Linked DNA regions of Cricetulus griseus. The protein of the gene in region 1 interacts with the protein of each later gene in a biochemical or structural test. Links are inferred from orthologs where the notes say so. Each region holds a gene or a part of one and is shown in the gene's direction. Other genes may lie near its edges.

What was found.
Region 2: the proteins of Nup85 (region 1) and Nup43 form a complex in vitro, tested with the Homo sapiens proteins (2 studies listed by BioGRID). The link is inferred for Cricetulus griseus from reciprocal best matches to the Homo sapiens genes NUP85 and NUP43.

Annotation. Positions count from the first base shown.
Region 1 is NC_048600.1:128,160,458-128,164,270, forward strand, and holds part of Nup85 (nuclear pore complex protein Nup85), read left to right. Parts: intron 1-864; coding exon 865-1,030; intron 1,031-1,609; coding exon 1,610-1,680; intron 1,681-1,912; coding exon 1,913-1,956; intron 1,957-3,813. UniProt on the Homo sapiens protein: Essential component of the nuclear pore complex (NPC) that seems to be required for NPC assembly and maintenance. As part of the NPC Nup107-160 subcomplex plays a role in RNA export and in tethering NUP96/Nup98 and NUP153 to the nucleus.
Region 2 is NC_048595.1:280,415,589-280,420,104, reverse strand, and holds the start of Nup43 (nucleoporin Nup43), read left to right. Parts: upstream 1-1,403; 5' UTR 1,404-1,470; coding exon 1,471-1,590; intron 1,591-1,905; coding exon 1,906-2,028; intron 2,029-2,998; coding exon 2,999-3,076; intron 3,077-4,475; coding exon 4,476-4,516. UniProt on the Homo sapiens protein: Component of the Nup107-160 subcomplex of the nuclear pore complex (NPC). The Nup107-160 subcomplex is required for the assembly of a functional NPC.

The DNA of each region.
Region 1 (3,813 bases):
CCCCTGTGGCTGCTGGCCTCTCCCTGACTCTGCCTTCCTGTATCTGCTTGGATTTCCCACCTGACTCTGCTCTGCCTGGCTATTGGCCAGTTCAGCTTCTTTATTAACCAATAGTTAATGCCATGCTTGCAGTCCGGGAATCTCTGCCATGCAGTGTAGTAGCAGGAGGGTGGAGAGTTCGAGGCCAGCCTGGGATACATTGCCAAACCCTTTCTCAAAAACCAAGGATAACGCCAGGCGGTGGTGGTGGTGGCGCACGCCTTTAATCCCAGCACTCAGGAGGCAGAGGCAGGTGGATCTCTGTGAGTTCGAGACCAGCCTGGTCTCCAGAGCGAGTGCCAGTTCAGGCTCCAAAGCTACACAGAGAAACCCTGTCTCGAAAAAAACATTAAAAAAAAAAGCCAAAAACCAAAGCAAAACCAAGGATACTTAATATATCACTGAGTGGCTTGGGGGATAAACTTGTATAGTGTGTGAAACACCCTTAATTAGATCATCAGTATCACCAGAAAGAGGAAACTGCTGTGTTGCCCGTTTGTAATCCTAGCACTGAGGCAGGATTGCCAAGACTTTGACACCATTCTTGGCTATGGAGTGAGACCCCATCTCAACATTCCCCAATTCCCCATCCTCTGAAAAGAAAACGTTGGTTTTTTTTAAAGGTAGGCCTAACTTGCATGGAATTGTATGTGACTATTATTTTGTAATTTCTAATCGTCCCACTTTAGTCTTACAAGGGCTGAGTGTATAGATGTGTGCCCCCTGCTCAGCCAGTTTTTGTAATTAAAGAACTAGAAATACTAGAATGGTTTCTCTTTTGTGGAAATGGTAGATGTTGAATTAATTTTTTTCCCTGTTCTGTAGTAGACACATCCGAGAAGGTGCCGAGCTGCCCCTTTATCTACATCGTACGGAAAGATGTAGATGTTTACTCTCAGATTTTGAGAAAACTCTTCAATGAATCCCATGGAATCTTCATTGGCCTGCAAAGAATTGAGGAGGAATTGACCGGAAAATCCAGGAAAGCTCAGTAAGTAGGGTGCTGGTGGATGCTGAAGTCCTTATCCTTGTGAGTGATGGGGGGCCACGGGTCTCCTGTGTATTTTCCCAGAAGGGGACTTCTAAATTGTATAAATACTGTTGTAATACTTACTTACTGGTTTGATAAGCTCTTCTTTTTCTTGTTTTGGTTTTTCGAGACACTGTTTCTCTGGGACTTTGGAGCCTGTCCTGGAACTCACTCTGGAGACCAGGCAGGCTTAGAACTCTCAGAGATCCGGCTGCCTCTGCCTCCCAAGTGCTGGGTTTAAAGGCTGCGCCACCAACGCCCGGCTTGATAAGCTTTACAGTTCCTACTTCATTTTTTTGTATGTGTCCCTTGTATGTAATAAATAAATAAAAGGAAAGCCTTGAATTAGATTTCATTTTTGTGAGATTTGAAAATGAGGCAGCCAACCTGGTCTGCATAGTGAGTTCCAGGCCAGCCAGAGCTGCAAGCTGCCTCTGCCTCCAAAGTTCTGTGAGTAAAGGTGTGAGACAATAACACCTGTCCTTTTCCTATTTTTTTTTTTTTTAATATTCTCTTGTATGCCATTTCATTTCTTTGTAGATTGGTTCGAGTGAGTAAGAATTACCGATCAGTCATACGGGCCTGTATGGAAGAAATGCACCAGGTTGCAAGTAAGGACTTTGGTATATTTGAAGAATGTGTCTGGTGCTGTTTTCTCCAGAGGCCTTTAAGGAGACTACTTTGCAGTTCAAAGTGGGGCCTTGTATATAAAAGTTTTCAATGAAAATGGGTGGGTGTTAAAACAAAGACAGGAGCCATACTGAGCTTAGAAGGAGAGCTTAGTAGATTGAATATAATCAATTCTGATTGAGTGTTCACTTATGATGTTTTGTATTCTGCTAGTTGCTGCTAAAGATCCAGCCAGTGGTCGGCAGTTCAGCAGCCAGGTAAGGGGTAGCTGTTTTCATTGTATTGGCGACATTATGTCTGTCCGTGTCCTTAGTGTCTAGGGTGGCTTTATAGTCACTGTTGCAGGAGGTTTCTTCTTTCCAGGTAGACCAGCAGCTCGTTGGGCTGGCAGGTGTGGCTTTGAAAGCGCTGGTGTTTCCTTCAAAGGCCTCACCCATTGGAACACAGGGTCTGCTTGAGAAATACTGAGTTTTTATTTCCTGTGGACGCGATGAGTCTTAAGCACATGGTATTGGTAAACTGTCATTTGAGATGGAGAGTTGAGCTTTTGGGACCACCATTTAGTCTCACATACTCAACACTTCACTTTTGCTGAGCAGCAAGTGGGAGTCATTCATTAGGACCAGAAGGTGACATACAGGATTTTTTTCTTAGTGGGACGCCAGTGCTTTTGTAATGGATGAACCGGGACAATACCCTGCCTTGGCCTGGCACGGTGTGTGTTTTCCTGAGAACCAAGGTTCAAGGAGTTAAGATGTCTGAACTGAAGCGTAGTGATGATTTGGGGGAGGGGTGGCGCCACTTCACTTCATCTTGGTAAGGACAGGGTCCAGGTCTCCTTATCTTTTGTGGGGGGCCTTATGTCAGGCTTTGCTCTTTCAGGTTCTACAGTGTTGGGTCTTAGTCCCAGTACCCTCGGTGTGCTAAGCGCCTTCACTGTCACTGAGCTATATATACACACCCTCAGTCTACATGTCCCCTTTATTTTTACTTATTTTTATTGTGTGTGTTCTTTGAGTGTCTGCACATGCAGGTCACCTGTGCGTGCATGTGGGGGACGGAAGAGGGTGTTGGATGTGCTCTATCATTCTCTGCTTATTCTGTTTCTCCTTGGACATAGGTGTTGTGATTTCTTGGCTAGACTAGAAGTCTGCAAACTCCAGTGATCCTCCTCTCTCTGTTCTCCCGTAGCTCAGGTCTCCAGCTTGTGTGTGCTATGACCCAAACTCTGCACCTCATGTTTGCACAACAAATTCTCTTACCTACACATCAATGTCTCCAGCCCTTCTGTTGCTTTTTGAGACAGGGACTCACTCACAAGCTGGCAGTGGACTTGTATTATTGATCTTTCTGTTGTAGACTCCTGAATGCTGGGTTTACAACATGAGCTACCTTACCTGCTCTGGACTTTGCTGGGTTTTTTTTTCTTTTTAGATATTTTTTTTGTTTTGTTTTTTGGTTTTTTTTTTTTGTTTTTCAAGACAGGGTTTCCCTGTGGCTTTGGAGACTGTCCTGGAACTAGCTCTTGTAGACCAGGCTGGTCTCGAACTCACAGAACCGCCTGCCTCTGCCTCCCGAGTGTTGGGATTAATTTTTTTAGATGTATTTATTTTATTTTATGTGGATGGGTATTTTGCCTGCATGTGTTTCTGTGTACCGTGTGTACCATCCTTACAGAGGTCAGAGCAGATGTCAGATCCCCTGGAACTGGAGTTTCCGATGGTTGTAGCTGCCAACCATATGGTCGCTGGGAATCAAACCCAGGCTTTTTGCAAGAACAGCCAGTGTTCTCCATGGCTGAGATCTTCTTCAGCGCCTGGACTCAGCCTTTAATAGCCTGTTTCCTAAGCTTCAGTCCATGGCATATGCACCTTTCTTTCTCCTTCTCCTTTCTCTTTTACTTTTTCTTTTTTTAAGTAGGATTTCATAAGTTCAGGCTGGCCTGGAAGTCTTCATCCCCTACCCTCACATTCCAAGTGCTAGGATTACAGGCCAGGCCAGCATAGAGCCCTTGACACTTGGCCTCCGAAGTGGCAGGTTCACAGGTGTCCACCACTGCCCTGGCTCCAACTTCAAAAATTTGTTCTGCTTATTAATTAGTTAATTGTTGATTG
Region 2 (4,516 bases), on another chromosome or scaffold:
AATGGAGCTACAATGTAGGTTCTGGGAACTGAACCCAGGCTCTCTGTGAGAGCAAGTGCTGCTAGTGGTTGAGCAATCTCTCCAGCCCTAAGGTTTAAAAAACATTTTCTATGTGCAGTGAAGTTCATCTAAGTGCTCACGGCTGGTACAAGATATTTCCTCCTGAATTTTTAAGAAAAAATTTTATACTTAGATTTTTCTCTGACAGGTCTAGAGAGCTAATTCAGCAGTTAAAAGGATTTGCTGATCTTTCAGAGGGCTAGTGTTGGCTTCTCACCTCCTGCATGGGTTTTGTGAGCTCACACCTGCCTCTATTTCCAGCTCCTGAATGTCCAGAGCCTCTTCAGGCACCTGTCTTCACATGCACATATACACATGCAGACAGTTACATATAGATAACTTAAAATAAAGTAAAAATAAAGTTATTTTAAGGGCTGAGAAGATAGCTCAGCAGTTAAAAGCACATGTTGCTCTTCCAGAGGACCTGAGTTCATTTCCCAGCACCCACATGGCAGTTCACAACCTTCTGTAACTCCAGTTCCAGGGACTCCACCAGGCATGAACACATGCAATAGACACAAACATACAGGCAAACAAAATATTCACACACACAATTTAAAAATTTCAAAAATTAAATATTTTTAAAGATTTATCAAAAGAATAATAAATGCAATTGTTTTCCTACCTCTAAATCTGTCATGAATTTTTTTTGGGGGAGTTGGAGGTAGATAGTGCATAAAAACATATTCGCTAATAAAATTAAATATAGCCGGGCGGTGGTGGCGAGCGCCTTTAGTCCCAGCACTCAGGAGGTAGAGGCAGGTGGATGGATCTCTGTGAGTTCGAGATCAGCCTGGTCTACAAGAGCTAGTTCCAGGACAGCCTCCAAAGCCACAAAGAAACACAGTCTCAAAAAAAAATTAAAGTAAATATACATTTGTGAAAGTATAAAATCCAATGTGAAGCTCCACAGCTTCTGAATGGCTGAGCTAAATGTATGGAAGTTCATTGGATTGTATAGTCTTTGGGTCAGGTTAATTTTGGTGTGTGATGATTTTTTTTATTTACAACGTATTTTAAATTTATTTTATTTTTTTATTTACAACGTTTTAATAATAAAGTTTTTATAATGAACAAAAAACCCTAAATATTAAAAAAAAAACTTCTCACATTACACGACCATTGCACAAATAATATATTGTCAGTGTTCCTAGATTGATTTCGCCTTAGGAGTGTGTCTTTTTTGTTGAAGGTTTTAGGGGCTGGATCTTTGTTCATAACTACTTTCAAGAGTGCGGTATCACAACCTCCTTCAGTTTAGGGGCTGGCGCGTCCTCCTGATGTCGAGAATTGGCTGTCTGCAGCCACCGTCTTTCCCGTGGGGTCTCATCCAATCAGAACCGCGCAGGAAGGGGCGGGCCTGAGGAGCGCGCAGTGTGCTTTCTGCTGAAGCTTCTTCTAGATTTCAGCATGGAGGAAATTTATGCTAAGTTCGTGTCTCAGAAAATTAGCAAGACCCGCTGGCGGCCAGTGCCTTCTGGGAGCCTGCAGACCGCAGAGACCTTCGCTACGGGCTCTTGGGACAATGAGGTACCCGGCCCCGGGCGGGTCCCCGGCTGCTCTGCTCCACGCCCCTCGCGCCAGCGCGCGAAAGCAGCTTATGGCTTGCGGGTCTCCTGCTTGGCTGCCCTACCTCAGAGCCCTGGTGGTGTATTTGAGCCTCGGATCTGGTTTTAAACCTTCACCAAGTTTGTAGACATACCGTCCGAAACGGGCCACATCTCTGATCGTTTCAGATCTTAACATACCGTTTGTCTGAGATGCTTTTGGAGCAAGGACGCCCGAAAGGCAGTCTGAATTAGTTGACGTTTTCGTCACCCCAAGATAAAACTTTCTGCTTTGCAGGAAAACTGCGTTTCACTGTGGTCTATTGGAGATTTTGGGAATTTGGATTCTGACGGAGGGTTTGAAGGAGACCATCAATTACTGTGCGATATCAGACATCATGGTGATGTCATGGATTTACAGGTAAATCTGAGTTGTCCCCCAAAGCTAAACTTGGAAATCTGATCATACATTTAGCACCGTATAGTTCGTCTACTGTCATTCCTGGTTTACAGGACACTAATCTCTGAATTGTAATTTACTACATCGTTGTTTAGGCACTTAGTGACAGAAGTGGGGTTGGGAAAGTGAATTTGTGTCAATCAGTTTGAAAATTAATTGTCCAAGCCGGCATGTGGGTGCAAGCCTCTAATTCCAGCCCATGGCAGGCAGAGGCAGGAGGGATCACAAGGCCAGACTGAGCCACATTTTGAGACCTTATCTCAAAAAACAAACAAAATTTGCCCATCTACTTGCCAAATGCTGTTTGGTGAGTGTTATACAGGTATGTTAATTTGCATTGCATGTCTGTGAGTCAGGGTTTATCATGTGTTGTGATGGGGATGCTCTCAGGATCTCACATGTGCTAGGGAAGTGCTCTCTACCTTTGAGTGTATGTATCCCAGCCGTCAAGTTCTGTTCACCACTTTACTAATCAGACAGATGAGACTGGTATCTTTTGAACATATAGAAAATATTGTGCAGGACTGCTCTTCTATGGTTTCTTTAACAACTTAGTAGAAATTAGATGAGCTTGGGCATCAGAGAGTCTCCCTCATAAAAAAAAAATCTGTATCAATTCAGATGCAGTGCATTTTACTCAGTAAAAAGCTGCCTACTCTTACGATTGACACATTTCAAGACTTTTATCATTGCAGCCCCAAATCAAAATGTAGAGTAAAACTTTAAACTTACTATTTATCCTTCATGAAAATACTCATAGTTTATATAAAAATTTCTTAAACATTTTAACACATTTAACATATTTTATTTGTTTCAGCTGCTTGCTTCTTTAAATCCTTACAAGGTTTGCTATTAGTCAAGGTGAAGTAATGGACTTTTTTCTCCTTAATATTTCCAAATCTATAATAATAAGCAGAATTTTTCTATTTAGTTTTTTGATCAGGAAAGAATCGTAGCTGCTTCGTCAACAGGATGTGTAACAGTGTTTCTTCATCATCCAAATAACCAGGTAAAGAACCTTCACAGGGAAAGTGAACTTTTATTTTAATTATTTATGAGAAGACTTACAGAAGATTGTGTGTAATGAGTTCACAGTGTTTTACAGTGTTTAAACATGAAGCGAGTCAATCATGGGCATTCTCTTGGAGCTCCTACATTTGCAGAGGTTGAAAAAAAAGAATTGTTTGATCACAGTAGCTGAAGACTAGATTGGGCAACACAGCACAATCCTAGCTTAAAGAGGAGTCATGATAGGAGAGGATACTGTCCACTTTTTAGAGGTTGATGAGGGTCAAAACATGCATTTTTGCACTGAGCTTCACCCCCAGCCCCATATTACTTTTTGATAAAGTCTACATCATGCTTACATACGTGTCTTCGGAAATTGGACATCCTTTAAATAAACTATTTATTAGCTCTAGCAGTAACATCTGCTGGTGGTAATTTCCCTACAGTGTTTTGTCAGCTCCTTTCATAGTCTTTTAGAGTTGAAAGGAGAAAGCCAGCACCCAGGCTTGAATGCATGCTCAGCTTCTATCTCAAATATCAAAAGGAGGGCAGAACAGCTGTTTTATTTTTAATGGGTAGAAGCCAGGTTTTCAGAAAACCCATGACTTAAAGACCTTTCTCTTGGGGCGGGTGAGGTGGCTCGAGAGTGTGTACTGCTCTTGGAGAGAACCCTGGTTCCATTCCTAGCACCCACACCAGGTACCTCACAATAGCTTATAAAGCTTATTACTCCAACTCTAGAGGATCTAATATGCTCGTCTAGCCTGAGTAGGCACCGGCACAGGTGTGATGCACATAAACTCAGGCAGGCAGGCACACACACATACTCATAACTTTGTTTTTTTGCGACAGGATCTCATTATTGTAGACCTGGCTGGTCTGGAACTCACTATGTCAATCAGGCTGGCATTAAACTAAGAAATCCCCCTGCCTCTGCTTCTTGAGTGCTGGGATCAAAGGTATGTGCCACCATGCCCATCTGTAATTCATTTTCTTAATGGAATCATGTAGAAAAAGATGTAGAGGTTAGTCCCTTATGTATTAGTTTATTCCCCTAACATTCAGCTACTTGGTAACAAAAATTAGTAGTTTGAAATAAATGTGGTGAGTCTAATTAGAATGTACAAAAATTTGATGGAAGTAGTTTCTAAACATCAGTATGCTCAAATACAAAGAAAAGGGGAGAATTGTTCTCCTACAAGGACATAAGATATAATAAGATATAATCTTATAATCTTAAAAATACTGTTATTGGGCAGACTTGGTGGCTCACTTATAATCCCAAACACTTGGAAGTCCTGTCTCAAAAAAAAAAAAAAAAAAAAAAAAAATTCTGGGAAGAAGGGCTCATTCTTCAGAACTTTGCTCTGATTGATAACATGCTCATTTCTGATGCCTAGACTCTGTCAGTCAATCAGCAGTGGCCAGCAGCTCACCACCA